3 linked regions of the Arabidopsis thaliana genome follow. The protein of the gene in region 2 purifies or fractionates together with the protein of the main gene of each other region. This does not show direct contact. Each region holds a gene or a part of one and is shown on either strand. Other genes may lie near its edges.

Region 1 (5,166 bases), on a different chromosome or scaffold from region 2:
AATTACACAAGATCATTTTGTTAGTTAAGTTTCAATTTTGGTTCAGTTACAATTTCGGTTTGTTCGATTTTAAACCAGGAAATACCAATATGCTCAAACATTTCGGTTCAGCTTTGGTTCGGTGCGGTCTATATATGCTCACCCCTAGATTCAATACCTTAATAACTTGATTAGCTAGGAAAGTGTTGTAAATTCTGATTGACAGTTTTATTCATTATTTTTTTTTTTGTAAATTTTGTAAAGGACCGAGCATCTATGCAAAATGCAAGAGGACAATACAGATGATCTTCGGGATGTTGGATCAATCCTATACGACTTTTTAGATGTAAGTTGTTAATGTATAAGGCTAATCACATCCATAGATTTGATAACTGTACCAACCTGATCGAGCTATTGAAAATAGGTAGAGGCGAATATGAATGCAAGGAGGAGAGTGGTGGAAGTGTGTGACACAGTAGTGAAACGCGGAGGGCGTCTAGCAGGAGCTGGTATAGTGGCAATTCTGGAGAAGATTGAAAAAGATACCAAAAGAATGGGTTCAGGTAAAAGAACCGTTGTGGCTATGGACGGTGCACTGTATGAGAAGTACCCACAATATCGACAGTATATGCAAGACGCACTAGTCGAGCTTCTTGGCCATAAGCTTGCAAGTCACGTTGCGATCAAACATACCAAAGACGTGTCTGGGCTCGGTGCTGCTCTTTTGGCGGCCACTAACTCCATTTACTAGTACTTGGACCTCTACTTCATGAGTATAGGAGGACTTTTGGTCCATTTGTTTGTGTACATTTATATAAGATATCATATCAATATCAATAAGATTGTAAAGAGGAGCAACGAACTAGCAGAAGATTATGTCTTGGACCACTTCGTACAACACTAGAAAATCCTTTTACTTCCAAAGTGAAAATTTTGATACGATTTATAATTTTGGATATAAATCTATCCCTATTTGGTTTGTGAAACACTCTAAATGAAGTAGAAGTTATGAATTATGTCTAATCAATGAGTTAGATTTGTAACTTTGTTTAAACAAACCGATAAGTTATGTTTAGTAACAAACGGCTGACTAGTACCATTGCTTTGTATAAATCAATAAATTAAATATAGATAATAGTTTTAAAGATTCTTTTCTAGAGTAATATATATTATTTTTTTTGAAAACTTTTAATATCATTTTAACTAACAAATAAATTTTAACCACCAAACGTTTAGTTTTTAGAGTTGGCAATCGTCCATTTTTTCTCTCTTTTAATCACTTTTTCCAACCGCTCATATGATTGGTAATCTCCAAAGCTGTTTGTTTTGTTTTGTTTGCAAACAAATCTATTGGATCTTACTAATCAAACCCAATGTCATAATTAAATATAGGGCAAGGCAAAATATTTGTAGTACTCTTATTTGATTTGCTATATCATCTTTGATCCCATTAAAAATATGCAGATATTTGTAAGTAAATTTAATATATGTTAGAGGGAAAGTTAATTACAAATATTAAAATTTGCAATATGGATATCCAAAATGGATAATACAATTTATTAGCATTCAAAAAGGTTTTGCAGTACTGGATAGTCCTAATATTTCACGTATAAAGGAAGATCAACCGTTTCACAAATGGATTGACAAATTACATGCGTTTTCATTGTTTCTAGATTTTCATGCATTTGATGTTCTCCCGAATACTTTGATTTCGATATTTAGGGATGATAAGTCTGAACTATCGTGTCACGACATGTTCGATTAAGGTTTTTCTTCTGATTTTCACCAAAAAAAAAAGAAAGCCTTATAACAAAAAAAAATTAATAAAACTTTTATCATATTTTTTGAACTTTCATAAAATATCCAATTAAAATTTAAAAATTAACAGATTTGTAACTAGTTTTGAGAGGATACGAATATGAAACACATAATATTTCATTGAGTTGGAAAAAAAAAGTTGTAGTTAAATCAAATTTTTAAAACAAAAATTCTATTTCACAAATCTTTTCTAGCTCCAAGCTTATTTTTCTATTTCCTCCTAAATCAATTTTTTTCTTAAAAACTCCATCTTTTTGACTGGATAGTTTGGCTGCTTTACGAACCTGTTTTCAACAAAGGTCGTGAAAATTCAAAGTGAGATCTGAAAGAAGAAAATTCCTCTGATCGCTCACGATTTCTCCTGAATTCTCCATTAGATTTTGCAGAGAAAATGGTACACTGCTTTATTTCTCTTCCACTTTGTTTTCCTTTGTTCATGTCTGACGCTCAATTCTGATCCACCTCTCTCCCAATTTGTCCAGATCCGATTCATATTATTGCAGAACAGACAAGGTAAGACTCGTCTAGCCAAATACTATGTCCCTCTCGAAGAATCCGAGAAACACAAAGTCGAATACGAGGTACTACTCATTTCAAATTCTATCATCTTCCTTTTTTTATCCTTTTTAGGTTTCTGATTCTTAATTCTTTTCACAGGTTCATAGATTAGTGGTGAATCGCGACGCCAAATTCACCAACTTCGTTGAGGTTTGCTGTTTTCATTTTGTAAAATTTATCATTCTTGAATCAGATTTTGTATAATTTGATTGATTTTAAAAAGCATTGGCTTGTTGAAATTGTCTTAGGTTTGAACCTGATTTAGGTTTTGTATAACAAGATTAGGGCTGTTGGAGATAGATTATTCGAGATGTAGTAGAAGTGTGATTGAGAAACAATAATATGGAATGCGTTTTATGTGAGTGGGTGTCATTGTGAATGTTAATGTATGAATGATGAAACTGTTTTGCAACTATTTTCAGTTTAGAACACACAAGGTGATATACAGGCGTTATGCTGGATTGTTTTTCTCTGTGTGCGTGGATATAACCGACAATGAGTTGGCTTACTTGGAGAGTATCCATTTGTTTGTGGAGATATTGGACCATTTCTTCAGCAATGTTTGTGAGCTAGATTTGGTGTTTAATTTCCACAAGGTACTTAACCTCTTTACTTACTCTTATCCTTTGTAAATAGCTTCTGGAACTGCTTCGTTGGATTCATAACTTTAAGTTGTGATGCTGTACAACAACTGGTTTTGAATAAACACTGGGATTTTGCTTTGTCTTTTGAGTATTGAATGCTTACAAGTTTTGAACTAGTTAAGTGAATTCTCCCAGATGTTTTAAAATGGTTTTCTGAGAATTCTCATATATTAAGCTTACAAGGGTATATCAAACTAAGCTTTTGTTTGCGAAAATCAAAAGCTAGTTTCGTTTTCTTCTCAGTATACTTGTCCCAATTCTAAGCTGACCATCGTGACCCATTAGATAAATATCTGTATGCAGCCTTGAAAAGCATTCCCTATTTGTGTTTATATATGCAGATGCTACAGTGTTTCTAGATTTGATCTGTGTTTGTACTCTAATAATTGCTAACTAGTTCCCTATGACTTAAACTGAAAGGTGTACTTGATACTCGATGAGTTCATTCTTGCTGGGGAGCTCCAAGAAACAAGCAAAAGGGTGTGAAATTTTTGTTTCAAGCTTCTCTCTTTCACTTAAATGTATCACACATGCTCTTGCTCAAGTGCTAAACTTTTAAATGTTGGGGACTTGTTTTAATTCGCAGGCAATCATCGAAAGGATGTCAGAACTCGAGAAGCTACAGTGATGACGGTTAAGAATCACATTCTACTTGGTTAACTGCGTACCTGCCAGATGTTTCTTGGCATGTTCAGAGATTTGCTATACTTTGTTGAGTTGTTAGACAATGGTGTAGCGTTTACATTGTGAATGAAGAATTTAGAGTGATTCTGCTAAAGATCTCTCATCCAACATTTTGTTTACCTGTGAGATTTTCATTTCAACTAGTGATGTACTATTTGTTTCGTAGAACTATGATACCACACATGCTTTGAGAGGATATATAACTAATATTGATAGTAACTGTTGAATTATCAACATAATGTGATGAATCGATTTCTCGTGACAACTTTAAAATCCTTTATGATCATGTCGACTAAACCATTTTCTGCTATCTCTGCCAGTGACTGGTCTGTGCTGATACCCAAATCCTTCTTTGTCCTCCACTGATAAGATTCATCAGGTCACAGAATCTCTTACATCTCAGCGACAAAACAGAAGAACATGAGACGTTTTCTCACCAACCCTACTCTTTCTTAAACTCTAACATGTTAGACTTACTAAGCGTCAAACATGAGACTTTGCGAGTTCCTGAATCAATCATGAACATTAACACTAACCAGTAATACGTAATGTAACCAAATCAGTCCTGCATCTAATGCCCAAAATACCTTTGTTCTGTTCTCTAGTGTCATCACAGTTTCCCTGAAGTTCCAAGAGCTTCCTTCAATAACTCAATGAGCATTCAAAGCAATGCAATCACCAACCTTAAGTAATAATTCAACAACACCATTACTAAATTCCACCTAGCAGATGCAAACATTTGAACATAACTTAACCCAAGTCCTCATATTCTTCTTTAGATAAACAGAACTGTTCCACAAACAGAAAATTTGAACAAAGGTTCAAAATCTAAGCAACATCAATGGAAAAAAGACAAGACAGCAAGTGATAAGCAAAAGGAAAAACTCAAATCTTTGTCTTCTTGGGTGGTTTCACAGGACATATTACAGGAGAAGCATCATCATCATCACCTTCTTCATCATCAGACAAGATTTGGTCAGGGACATCATCATCTGGAACATTATGCTTTGTGATAAAATCCTTAAGTATCTTCATACTTTCTTCTTTCATCGAAACCAATTGGTCCAATACAGTATCACCCTTGATTGAATCAATTGTGTAGCTCTCTGTCCCAAGCTTGAACTCTACTTTAACTAGATTCTTCCCAGGGACTGAAACGTGACTCTCAATCTCCATATCTACCCTGAAATTAAAACTAAAGAAGAAGAAGGAAACGAAAATTACAGCGATGTAAGGAAAGAAGAACCCTAATGAATTTTAATTTAGCTTCGGTACCTGAAGTTTTATTTGGGTGGAAGAAGAAGCAAAAGGCCGATGAAGCTTAGCCGATAATTAATTATGAGCGACTACAGTTTATCTTTACCAAATATTTAGGAATCTTGCAAAATCTGCCATATTTCACTCAAGAATTTACAATCCATGCCATATTCTTATAGGCTTTACAAAATCTGCCATATTTTACCACACGTGAAATTTCGTGAAC
Region 2 (5,967 bases):
GATTATCTGAGACTGATGCTTCTTTATGATATCTTGAACATCTGTGACCATCAGCATTCGCGTCATATTTTCCTGCAATGTTGTCAACAAGCATCATGAGAAGCCACATAATGCACTACCAAATACTTAACAAATTACTGTTCTAGCTAAGCTTAGATGCAGGAAGTGGGTATGCAAGATCTCACCAAGCCTAGATATCTGATGTTGGGCTCACGGACAGAAATAAACTTGCCAAGAAGAGCAACACACTGTGACATCATTTCCTTCTCAGCATCAAGATGCATGACCTATATCAAAACACATTAACAAGTTAGGGGTTGCACACTAAGCCAGAAAGTTTACTAGAGTGTGCTCATCAATCTAATCATCGCGAAGAAAAGCTCTCTTTGAGGTTCAATATTTCTTGTGTAAATCTCTGATATATGTCTTCGAATTCTCTCTCATGGCATTTCATGGACAGATAGTTGACTTGAGTATAATCAACAATTGAACCTCAAAAAGTTAATGCTATTTCTTAGATAGAGCTTACCAGGGAGAGAGCTTCAAACAGCACGGCATGAGACGCATTGTTTTTATTCACATTTTTCACAACATCTGTGCCCATCAATATTCGCTGAAGGACCTGAAATTTCCATGAAATGCCATGAGAGAGATTTCGAAGACATATATCAGATATTTACACAAGAAAATTTGTACCTCAAAGAGAGCTTTTCTGGTACTGGGATCTTCAATGGTTGGAAAATATTGAAGAGCCCTCATTGCCTTAACCTGTACTGCCAAAGATATATAAGTATCCAACAACCACAACATACCAAAGCTGGGGCAAGCCTCTATTTTCATAAGCTAATTTCACATAAAATGTTTAAAATGCATGAGATTGGGAAAAGGATGTGATTAAAAAATATTGAACGTATTAACCGAGTTAAGACAAACCTGGAGCCAAGGAGATGGGATGCCATAGTATGTGTACTCCTGAGGAACATCCTGGTTCCTAGCAAGGCGTTCTAATATTTTGACACATTTAGGTAGACAACTTGAGTACGCCTCATGATTGTTAGATACCAGAGCTACAAGAAGACTCGTAGAAGACGTCAAGACACCAAGATCTCGTTCATCCAAAAGTTGTGCCATACGATCCGCCCTGGAAGTATACGACAAAGTGAATATGAAAGATGCACAAGTAAACTCAAACAACCAGTAACCCAAGAGTGTTCACACACACCAGCCATCAACGTTGACAGCATCCGGATTTTTTCGGAATAAGCGCAGTAGGCACAGTGCCGCTTTTTTCCTTACGAGAGGTCTGCAACTACTAGAAATCTGCAGCGAACAAGCCCCAAAACATTTATATGTTTACTTATATCGGGAAAAAAAACATAACATGTCATCTTTGGGAGTCACTTACAAGTAGCTTTTGAACATCAGGTGCCAATGATTCAGCAAAATCTCTTCCACCAATATTTCCAACCTACAGGACAAAATAAGCAGGGAAATGTAAGAGAGCTAGAAGAAAAAAAGCACCAGTTCAATGAAGTAAGTGGCTTTGAATCGCAAAATAATAGAGCACAAAAGATAAATGTATCCAAAGACTTCCACTAAAATAGTCATTCAACTGCATTCATAATCAGAAAGACCTCACTAAGCTCTAAAACCTCAACACAGCATGGACAAAAGCCAACATACCAAGGTCAGTGCTAAGCATTGGAAAGTCTCATTCCGACCAATAATATCGTTCCGCACTGTATTTATAGCCAACTTCAAAAAGTCATGGTTCTCATTGAGCAAGCAAGATGTAACAATGTAGCCAACCTGAAATTATGGATGAAAAGTTCAATACCTGCAAATTTGGTAGTGAGCATAAAATAATACAAACTGCAAATACAAACCCTTGGATACAATGCATGGTTCCTGGTTAAGATTTGCTACGATGTTACTAAGTAACTTATGCGTCTAAGTAAATGCCTCCAGTACTTTACCAGGTCCATTCAAACTGAATAAGTTGCAAGCTTGTGAAATAGTATCTAAATCCAGCATCCATTATCTTCAGAGATTTTTTTTTTTGTTTCAGCTTGCTCACTAGACTTGAATCAAACAAATACCCCACCCCCACCACACACACACCTATTATCTTCTCCTACCCTTAGAAAGCAATATTTCATTGGTTACAAAACGTTGGCTTACCTGCTTTTCTGGATACTTTGGCGCAGATATAAGAGAAACTGCCTCCATATGGCCAAAATCCACATCGTAGCCTAGCATATGTATATAAAGCATTTTCCAGACATATTTCTTCTTTTTGTATGGTGTTAAGACCTGAAAACATAAAACAAGTTAAAGTAAGAGTGCATGATTAATTTATTTCTAACATTTTAAAATAAGTTTGGTGTTGGTCCAACTGGCCACACATGGATCCACTACAGGCCGGCTACAGCTCTACTACGTAGAGTATGGAACCAGATTATCTCTCCAGAACTTCTTACAGCAACAAAGCTTAATGTATTTCGTAATGAGCTTTTCAAAATTTTCCGTGATCTGTATTTCTTTCCTTAGACCATCACTACATAACCGAATTTACTGCCAGGCCATTCTTTTCTTCTAGTTCCTAAATATCATCATATATTTAGTGTCTTATATATCTTGATTGATCTTCTCCCATCTATGGACTTTAAATGCAGTAATGACATTCCAAAGTTGAAAGCAGTACTAGTGATGTTACAAAGGGTAGAATAATGGCTAATCTCTACCGATCTGAGCTAGCTATACAATACTGCCTGTCCAGGTACACACTTAGTGTTATATCAAAAATTTATAGCCTGAATCCGATAAAATAAGAAACTACAGGCTTCCAAAACTATCCACTCGGCAACTCTGGCTTTCCTAATAAAATATTCGGCCAGTGATTGCATCTTTCTTTCAACTACATTCTTATATAACTCCCTAATCAACCTCAGAGGAATAGGTAGCTTCATGGAGAAATCTCCAATATATCTAATCAATACAGAACCTCGGCAGATACTACTCCGTCACTGAATTACCACTCAAAATGAGAATAAAACACAGGCAAACAAAAATGGAGATAATTGAGAGTAACCTTCTCATTCTTGAAGCATGTACGAATGTTTCCGAGCTCCTTATCAACTCGTAGTCTCTCCGCTTCCTTGTTCTGACAATTACGAACGTCGCTGATAAATACGGAGAGACCTCTCATTCCGGTCATGGTGGAACAGAGTCCTCAGATCCACCGTCCTCCACCGCCTCACACGGCGCAGATCCGAACTCGCGAAACCGGATCTAACTATGACAGAAAGCGCAGACCACAGCTGAAGGATTAGCAATTCGCGAGAGCTGAGATCGAAACCCTAATCTAGAAACGGAAAATGACACCTCCAATGGACGAAATTCAAAAAGGAGAGAGTGATCTTTGGAGAAGAGAGAGACAAGCCTGCGGGAAGAGACGAGGGACGACTTTTATTATTTACAACTTTGACTATTCAATTTTGTGTTATTCAGTTTCGTCTGTTTTGATTTTTGAACACATGCGAATTTGGAAAATTCGAAATTGACTCGTCCAAAAACAGAATTCACGAGTTTACAAAAAAAAACAAAAATTAAAACGAGCTAAACAGACGAATTTAAGATTACAAGTTCGAGAAATACAAAAAATAAACGAGTAATTCGAAAAATAAACATGGAATAAACTAATTTTATATATTAAAAATGAAGAAAGCTGGCCATTTCTCAAAAGACTGCACCATTAAAACGAAGTTTGTACAATCTGTCTCAAAATCTTAAACTGTTTTTCACCGCGGTTATGTATTCAATTGGTATTTCAGTATAACATAAGTACATAACCATACCATGAGACCATGAAAAAACCGGATTTTAAATTCAGGTCAAGTTATGGTCCCAACGTAGGGATGATTAATCAAATGATTCACCTTCCTTGGGAGGACAATGTTCCTTTGAACAGTCGTCAGCTTTTGATTACCATTTGGTATTCACATTAATTAATCTATAGGGCATATAATATAAATTGTTCAAATTAAGTAAAGGAGTATAAATAAAATATCATTAAGGGGCACAAAACAGAAACAAGAGAACAAAAGATGAGGATCATGCAGCAGTTGGATGACAGTGGTTACTAAGCTGTCACTCGCAAGATCCTCCATCTATCGAATGATGCCTTACCATCAAAGTATCCTAAGAATATTTTCCTTGCAAATAAATATCGAAAGATTTTTTTGTAATATACTCACTCATAGTTGCTTTAAATATTTTTATTTATTACTTTTAATATCTCCACCTACCAACAATTCTCCTTTTCCCCTTCTCACTTTTAACGGTGGGAAAAGTGAAAAAAAAAACACAGAAGAATGAATCAACGCAAACGTCAAAAATGACGTTTAGTTGACATAATTCGCCATTGTGATCATATTGTTATAAACTTTATAAAAACGCAGAGGCTAACGGCTGATAAAAAGTTTGAGTCATTATTGCAAGTATATGATTCAGAAAAATGAATAAGAGAGACAAGGATACCATGAGAAACTCAACTTCCAAAACCAAATTGAAAATGTTGTATCGAGTAGTATTCCGGTTAGAAGAATCCGGTCCGTATCATGAACCAGATTCTCTTTCTGTAGCTCTCGGTAAATAACCTAATCACACTAATGAAACTCAGATAACTAAACTTCCCCATCAGATTAGAGATACTCTCATACTCCTGAGGATTGACATCTAGGCTAGTTTACTATCCGGTTTGTAACAAAACCGAACCGGTTGATTACTGAACGCCGGACAATTTAGCCCAATCTACAAATTGCATACCGCCATACACATTGTTAGCAAACCGGACTCCCACCGTGAATGCCATAGCGACCACAGGGATACGTTTGGCCGCTGTAGAACCTTCCACGACGCGTTCGAGGCCGTTGATGATTTGGTAACGCGCATTGGAAGATAAGCCGAGGAACACACCTGAACAACAGCGCAATACAGAGAAGAGAGTGAATATATATGTATATGTAATCAACAATTCACAGAGTAAACTTCAGGGTTATCTCTGAGCTCAGCAACTAAATTACCCTCTCCATTGATCTAATATTGCTAACAACAGGACAATGTAGCTAATATCTTCACATAGAATTGTAAGCATAATCTATTCTTGGTATCATTGGCAATTCAGGTTCTTTCCTTTCTAAGAAACTAAGCCCGGTTAAGAAACCGATGGCTGATCACAAGAACTCGGAAAAAGAGTAGACAACACAATATCGACGGTTCAAGACTATCGTTTTCAGTGAACATCAGAGGGGAAAAGCATCGATGATTCTGTAGAACATAGTTAGAGATCAAAAGTAAAGCTTACCCCAGAGAGCAGCGCTTTCGAAAAGAGGTGGAATAGGGACGTCTTCCTCTGATTTCTTCACACTCCTATTAACAAAGGTAACCTCAAATTTCAGTGAAGAACAGTTTTTTAAACAGTCAGAAGATTCATTTCATCATTGAAAAGTAGCAAGATAAAGTCGATGGTGAAAGAATACCGTTTTGCTGTCATGATCAGATTTGCAATTCCCTGACCAATGAGGCCGCAGCCGAATCCAACCGACCCATACAAGAGGCCCTGGACCAAGAATCACATCAATTAATCAAACCAAAGGTAAGCAAGATCCACAAAGGACATTAAAGCAATAGTTCTTCTCCATACCTTGTAGAAGAATGTTGCAATCCGCTGGTTAACTGAGAATTTACAACCCGGTCTTTCTGCTTCAAAAACACTTCAGAAGTACAAAAAAAAAAGCATGTATAAGTACATCTCATCCCGAATACACAGCCACCAGCTCGATAGATATCAGTGGGAACAGTTAACACAAAAGTGAAAAAAACGAGAGAGATACAGTAACAGTATTACCTGCTAGGAAGGGATGCACAAGCACGTTTAAGATCCTTGAATAAACCTGTTGATGCCAC
Region 3 (6,619 bases), on a different chromosome or scaffold from region 2:
GGATTGATAACATTTCATATCGAAACATTTCATACATTTTATATCTGTAATGTTACAACCAGTCTAAAGCCAAGGATTCTAGAAACTAGAAACAAATTTTACTAAAATTAATTGAGGGAAAACTCAAGAATGTGTGTGTGATCATTGAAGAAATGAAGAATGTGTGTTAGAGTGAGTGAATATTCAAAAGACTCAAATAGGTTTTTAATGAACAATAGGGAACCCGAGGAAACGCGTGACTCTAAGATATATGAATTTATTTTGCACTTATTACTTTTGATTAATTTTTATATTCTAACCCTTTTTTATATACTATTTTTTTCAGTGCAAGTAATGAATGAAGTAACGAGATGAGAGTCTAGTTTCAAAGTTTTGAATCTTTTTGGTCAATGTCGTCTCTATTTGTTGACCATATTATACGTTTGACTTTAACCCCATTTTTCTTTAATCTCATTCTTCTTCTTTGCTTCAATGGTTGACGAATTCTTACCGTAGAAGTTGCATCTAAATATACCAAAGATTAATACTGCGAAAATATGATAAAGAAGATTTTTTTTTTTTGTACTCTCTAGAAATTTGTAAACGATATTATTAGTGTTTGATTAAAGACTCCAATTTTTAACATAATGTCTATATCCACATAATGAATTTGTGTCTCTACTATATGTAGTGTTCCCGTCATATATGCATTTTTGCGATAGTCAATCGGATCTTTGTATTGCGGTTAATTGATCTGGTCTTTCTTGAGCGTACAAAATAAATAGAATTGTACGTATTATTAGAGATGGTTACATTTGGTTTACATTATTAGTTAAAGTTAACCAATAATGTAAACCAATAAAGTTAACCAATAATGTAAACCAAATGTAACTATCTCTAATACGTATGTTGACTATGATGTACTTCAAGACAAGTTCATCATCACTTAACGTAACTAACACTATATTAGTTAAGTTCAAGACTTATTGCCCATGATTCATTTGTAAACTATGAAGTAACATATCTCTGATTTTTTCCTCTTATGTTTGATAAATTAGTCATTATAATTAGTGTCTTGCCAAAAAGTACACTTCTATCTTATTAGCATTCTACATTACAAACTATTAATTTCACTACGTATAGCGGTATAGGGAGAAGATCAATAAGGCGATCACAATATTAGTTAAGTTCCGAGTCTTGCATTACCATTGTCCTATGAATCACAGAACAAGAGGACGCATATATATATAGTATTTATAAAAGACTAAGATAGTCACAGAACAAGAGGACGCATATATAATTGACAAATACTCAAAACATGTGAAAAGATAAGGGCTATTACGTCTTCATTAAGATCCCATAATCTTTATGATGAGAACTTAAGAGCCAAACTAGCTATGTAACAAAATATCAAGTTTGAAAGTAATAAACTGCTTGAATAAGCTTCAAGTTCACTACATGGTTTAGAAAGGTTTAAAATCTATTACTTTCAAACGCTTTTATTGTGTACCAATCAATCCAACAAAGTATGCAATCGTACTAATCAATCCAACAAAGTATACACTCACACCGGTAACATCAAAAATTCAAAAATTCAAAATTTCATGTTACCAATCAATCCAACAAAATATACAATCCCTGAGACCGAGTTATAATTTGTTGGAATGATTGGTACCAGTGAAATTGTGTTGTCGTGTGAACATCAACACATAGGAGGTAATATACGTAAATATGCTAGCAATCAAGCTAAGTATACAAAACACTTCATGTTGCAGTGTTCTATTGAAATTTTATATATCGAACTAGAATACTATCATGGAGAATGATCAAATGTTGCATATCTTCATATCCACGAAAAATGAGTACACAAACATTCGATCATACCCCATGACAGTTTTCTAGTTTATACTTGATAGTCCTCACGATTTCATGGTGGTGACACTACACAAACCCTAGATTCCCCTAAAGTTTTTGTGAAAAACGCATATGTTCGATTTTAGGTTTTACTTCTATCCTTGATTCATTACAAACCTATTTTTATACTAATTCGTCGTTAACCTAATAATTTTAACCTACGAAACCCAACCTATATGGGCCTGACTTTATGTAATGATCCAATGGGCCTTTCTTCTTCAATGATGACTTTCTTCATTGACTCTCCTTCTACTTTCGATGGTATTAAATTTGACGGAAAAAGTAAAACGATACCGTCTGGGTGAAAGGCAGAGCTCTTTGCTTCTGAATATTATTATTTTCTTAAATTCTTCCGTTTTTTTTTTTAATCCAACCACAAGGATCGATAACGAAATCATCAGATCGCCAGAAAAAAAAAAAAAATTGCGAAATGGAGAATCTGAGCTGCAGATCTGCGTCAATCTCCATCTAGATGTTGTTGCTACTTCTTCCTCTATAGAACCATAATTTCATCAGATCTCGCTGATTAATCATCCCCATTTGGATCTGATCGAAACTCTTAGGGAAGAACATGGCAGGAGCTGCCTCCGCGCTGTTTCTGCTTGATATCAAGGGACGCGTTCTCGTCTGGCGTGATTATCGTGGCGATGTCTCCGCTGCTCAAGCCGAGCGATTCTTCACTAAGCTCATCGAGAAAGAGGTTGTTCTGATCTTCCTCTTATCGCTAATTGGTCTTTGTTTATTGCTTGGTTACTGTAGAATTTTCAGAGAAACATAGAGTTAGCGAACGAACTTGTAGATTTGTGTTTGAAAGATTCGTCAATTGGAATTGAAACATTTCGAAGATAATGGATTCGTGTCCATTTTCATCTGCACTGGAAATGAATTTTGAAGATAATGGATTCGTATCAGTCTTTGTGATCTGATGCCGCTGAAATTTTTTGGAAGTAATGAACAAGTTTGATCATTGGTTAAATGTTTTGGATTAGAATTTGATTTGAATCTGTACTTTTGAAGCATTCTGGTTTAAATCAGAGTAATCATCGTTTTGTTTAATTGTTCAGGGTGATTCACAGTCAAATGATCCAGTTGCTTACGATAATGGGGTGACTTATATGTTTGTACAACATAGTAATGTATACTTGATGATAGCATCCAGGCAGAATTGTAATGCTGCCAGTCTTCTCTTCTTTCTTCACCGCGTTGTCGATGTAAGTATGGCTGGTCAATTCTTTAGTTTTTCTCTTAAGGTTCCATCTTTTTCCTGGATATTTGATGTAATGGCAATGGTATCTGTTATCTGGTTATAGGTTTTCAAGCATTACTTCGAGGAGTTAGAAGAGGAATCATTGAGGGATAACTTTGTGGTAGTGGTATGTTAAGCTTCTGTCATCGCTCTTTTAGTACTATTTCGCAATATATTTTTCTATTACTTGGGCAATCAAAAAGATCCTTAAAATTTTGGAAAAGTATTTGTCATTGTTAGATGCTGAAATTGATTTTTTGGTGCTGGCAGTATGAGCTACTTGACGAGATGATGGACTTTGGTTACCCTCAGTATACCGAAGCAAGAATTCTCAGTGAATTCATCAAGACTGATGCATATAGAATGGAAGTTACACAGAGACCTCCAATGGCTGTGACGAATGCTGTCTCCTGGAGGAGTGAGGGAATACAGTACAAGAAGAATGAAGTGAGTGCCATTGTTTTCGCAAGATAGGAATATGTTTCTGATGTTTCGGTTTGCAAATAATGACAACCTGCTTCTTTTTCCAGGTTTTCTTGGATGTTATTGAGAATGTAAATATTCTTGTCAACAGTAATGGGCAAATTGTCAGGTCTGATGTTGTTGGAGCGCTGAAGATGCGAACTTACTTGACGTATGTCAACACATCAAATTTACGATATAGTTCCTAATCAGCCAAAGCATGTTAAATCACGTCCCTTTTTGACTATTTTGCTCTTTGATCCATTCTATTGCAGTGGAATGCCAGAGTGTAAGTTAGGACTGAATGATAGAGTATTGCTGGAAGCGCAGGGACGAGCAACTAAGGGAAAAGCCATTGATTTGGAGGACATCAAATTTCATCAGTACGTCTTTAAGTTTTTATTATATTGAAACTTGGAAAGTCTTCACTGATCTTAACCCTTCTATTTTCTTTTTGTTCAAAAAGATTATATACTTGAGTTTTATGTATTCTCTTCTTCAACAACCATTTATTTAATGCAGGTGTGTTCGATTGGCCCGTTTTGAAAACGATAGGACGATATCTTTCATACCACCTGATGGGGCTTTTGATCTGATGACATATAGACTCAGCACTCAGGTTTGACATGTGGGATATAGCATCTACTGGAATTGTTCCACGTCTTCAACAAGTAAATATCATGATTTGTTTCTTTTATGTTCAGGTAAAGCCACTTATATGGGTGGAAGCACAAATAGAAAGTCATTCAAGAAGTCGTGTTGAGATGCTCATAAAAGCTAGAAGTCAGTTCAAGGAACGAAGGTAAATATATTCTATGGTATTTGTGCCACTTTCCTTTTCTGTCTTACTGTCATGCAAAGATCCTGATTGATCAGATTCTTTAAACCTTTGATCACGAACATTCTTTTTGTAGCACCGCAACGAACGTTGAGATTGAGTTGCCTGTACCAACCGATGCATCTAACCCCACCGTTAGGACATCTCTAGGGTCTGCCTCTTATGCTCCTGAAAAAGATGCGTTAGTCTGGAAAATCAAATCTTTCCCGGGGAACAAGGTATAACACTAACAAGGTTCAATAAACTCTTAAATTCAGTTGAAACAGTCAGCAATGTAGACTATGTAGTATCAATGCTAACCTTCAGAAAACCAATATAGGAGTACATGTTAAGGGCAGAGTTCCATCTTCCAAGTATCACTGCAGAGGAAGCAACTCCTGAGCGAAAGGCTCCTATCCGTGTCAAATTTGAGATCCCTTATTTCACTGTTTCAGGGATTCAGGTAAGCTTGTGCTTAATAATAAATGGTTACTGTCTCTTCCACAATGTCATATATATAATATATATGTTCTTTGGTGTGTAGGTTCGGTACCTAAAGATTATTGAGAAGAGTGGGTACCAAGCACTTCCATGGGTGAGATACATAACCATGGCTGGTGAGTACGAACTAAGACTCGTGTAATGCACATTTAGTTTCATCGTCTATGTCAATTGTGATTCCCACATCCCTCAAGGAATTGCCTGAATCAAAGAAGCAAAACGAAACAGGACAAAAGTAGAGGGAAAAGAAAACGTTTTGAAACATTTTAGCTGATCAAATTTTCCTTTAATTTGTTTTAGAAGCCATATTCTTGTGAATTTGTCTTTATGGTGATTCTATTTTATTTTACATGAGGCTCTCTGTAACCTTTCACGACATGGTTCATTATTTTCCTTTAGACTGCTACATTTCTGTCTATGTGTTCGTTCTGCGATCAAAATTGTTAAACGTTGAGGTTTTGGTTTTGTTTTTTGGGGCATTCGTCTATGTTTACATAGGTTTCTCTCGAGTTATGATCAAAATGAAACTACATAAACAAATTATGCTTCAATAGAGTGAGGTGAGAGAGCCTTACAATAGAGAGAACGTATATTTTGGTGTTTCTCATATTGTTTAACTGATATAGTATGGGCCGAAATGAAATAATCGTCAGGCCCATTAAAAAGCCCATAATCACCATACTTTCTCCTCCAATTCTGTTTCGAGCTTGGGAAGTGACAGTGAATTAGGGTTTTACTCAAAAAACCTTCTCGTTGTCGTTGTTTACTGCTCCGACGAGAAAATGGCGATGCGACATTTGAGCCGATCGAGAGACGTTACAAAGAGATCGACAAAGAAGTACATCGAAGAACCTCTGTACAATCGCCTCTTCAAAGATGGTGGTACAGAGGTCAAAGTTCGACAGCAGCTTAATCAGTTCCTCAAAGGCACTAAACACGTCTTCAAATGGGAGGTCGGCGATACGATCAAGAAACTCCGAAATCGCGGCCTCTATTACCCAGCTCTCAAGGTTTCATAAATCCAAATTGCATTTTCGATTCTCTAGGATTAGCTTCACAATAAGCATTTGCTTCAAATCTGTTGAATACATATAGAAATGTAGATTCTTAAGTGGTATTTTGATGCTCATTATGAACAATTTAGTAATTGTTGAATAATTTTTTCACTGTGTGATGATTGTGTCTTTAGATTTCATATTGTGGAGTTGTTTTTTTGGTTTGTAGCTATCTGAAGTTATGGAAGAGAGAGGTATGAACAAGACAGTGAGTGATCAAGCAATCCATCTTGATCTTGTTGCTAAAGCTCGTGAAATTACTGCTGGGGAGAATTATTTTGTTGATCTTCCGGAAACATCTAAGACGGAACTCACGTATGGGTCTCTTTTGAACTGTTACTGCAAGGAGTTGTTGACAGAGAAAGCGGAAGGTTTGCTGAATAAGATGAAAGAGCTCAACATTACTCCTAGTTCCATGTCTTATAACAGCCTCATGACTCTTTACACCAAGACAGGTGAGACTGAGAAAGTTCCGGCGATGATTCAAGAATTGAAGGCGGAGAATGTGATGCCGGATTCGTACACTTATAATGTCTGGATGAGGGCTTTGGCTGCTACTAATGATATTTCTGGTGTTGAGAGAGTCATTGAAGAGATGAATAGAGATGGTAGAGTTGCTCCGGATTGGACTACGTATAGCAATAT

What was found. Proteins that work in one complex are often made in the same cells at the same time.
Region 1: the proteins of AT5G22780 (region 2) and AT1G47830 fractionate together in Arabidopsis thaliana (co-fractionation; one large-scale study listed by BioGRID). This does not show direct contact.
Region 3: the proteins of AT5G22780 (region 2) and HAP13 fractionate together in Arabidopsis thaliana (co-fractionation; one large-scale study listed by BioGRID). This does not show direct contact.

Annotation. Positions count from the first base shown.
Region 1 is NC_003070.9:17,611,807-17,616,972, reverse strand, and holds AT1G47830 (SNARE-like superfamily protein), read left to right. Parts: upstream 1-1,986; 5' UTR 1,987-2,188; coding exon 2,189-2,191; intron 2,192-2,279; coding exon 2,280-2,378; intron 2,379-2,454; coding exon 2,455-2,505; intron 2,506-2,777; coding exon 2,778-2,951; intron 2,952-3,419; coding exon 3,420-3,479; intron 3,480-3,585; coding exon 3,586-3,627; 3' UTR 3,628-3,944; downstream 3,945-5,166. Other genes in the region: HXK3 (hexokinase 3), read left to right, coding at 244-325, 404-730; AT1G47820 (uncharacterized protein), read right to left, coding at 4,569-4,859. UniProt on the Arabidopsis thaliana protein: Subunit of the adaptor protein complex 2 (AP-2). Adaptor protein complexes function in protein transport via transport vesicles in different membrane traffic pathways.
Region 2 is NC_003076.8:7,594,612-7,600,578, forward strand, and holds the start of AT5G22780 (Adaptor protein complex AP-2, alpha subunit), read right to left. Parts: upstream 3,503-5,967; 5' UTR 3,218-3,502; coding exon 3,092-3,217; intron 2,314-3,091; coding exon 2,182-2,313; intron 1,810-2,181; coding exon 1,684-1,809; intron 1,469-1,683; coding exon 1,406-1,468; intron 1,321-1,405; coding exon 1,223-1,320; intron 1,142-1,222; coding exon 934-1,141; intron 769-933; coding exon 697-768; intron 623-696; coding exon 530-622; intron 288-529; coding exon 186-287; intron 73-185; coding exon 1-72. Other genes in the region: RER1 (reticulata-related 1), read right to left, coding at 4,784-4,977, 5,366-5,430, 5,541-5,620, 5,705-5,774, 5,909-5,967. UniProt on the Arabidopsis thaliana protein: Subunit of the adaptor protein complex 2 (AP-2). Adaptor protein complexes function in protein transport via transport vesicles in different membrane traffic pathways.
Region 3 is NC_003070.9:22,367,731-22,374,349, reverse strand, and holds HAP13 (Clathrin adaptor complexes medium subunit family protein), read left to right. Parts: upstream 1-2,126; 5' UTR 2,127-2,464; coding exon 2,465-2,593; intron 2,594-2,957; coding exon 2,958-3,104; intron 3,105-3,203; coding exon 3,204-3,266; intron 3,267-3,409; coding exon 3,410-3,586; intron 3,587-3,669; coding exon 3,670-3,773; intron 3,774-3,876; coding exon 3,877-3,984; intron 3,985-4,123; coding exon 4,124-4,220; intron 4,221-4,305; coding exon 4,306-4,403; intron 4,404-4,515; coding exon 4,516-4,657; intron 4,658-4,758; coding exon 4,759-4,881; intron 4,882-4,962; coding exon 4,963-5,061; 3' UTR 5,062-5,397; downstream 5,398-6,619. Other genes in the region: AT1G60770 (Tetratricopeptide repeat (TPR)-like superfamily protein), read left to right, coding at 5,702-5,929, 6,144-6,619. UniProt on the Arabidopsis thaliana protein: Subunit of clathrin-associated adaptor protein complex 1 that plays a role in protein sorting at the trans-Golgi network and early endosomes (TGN/EE).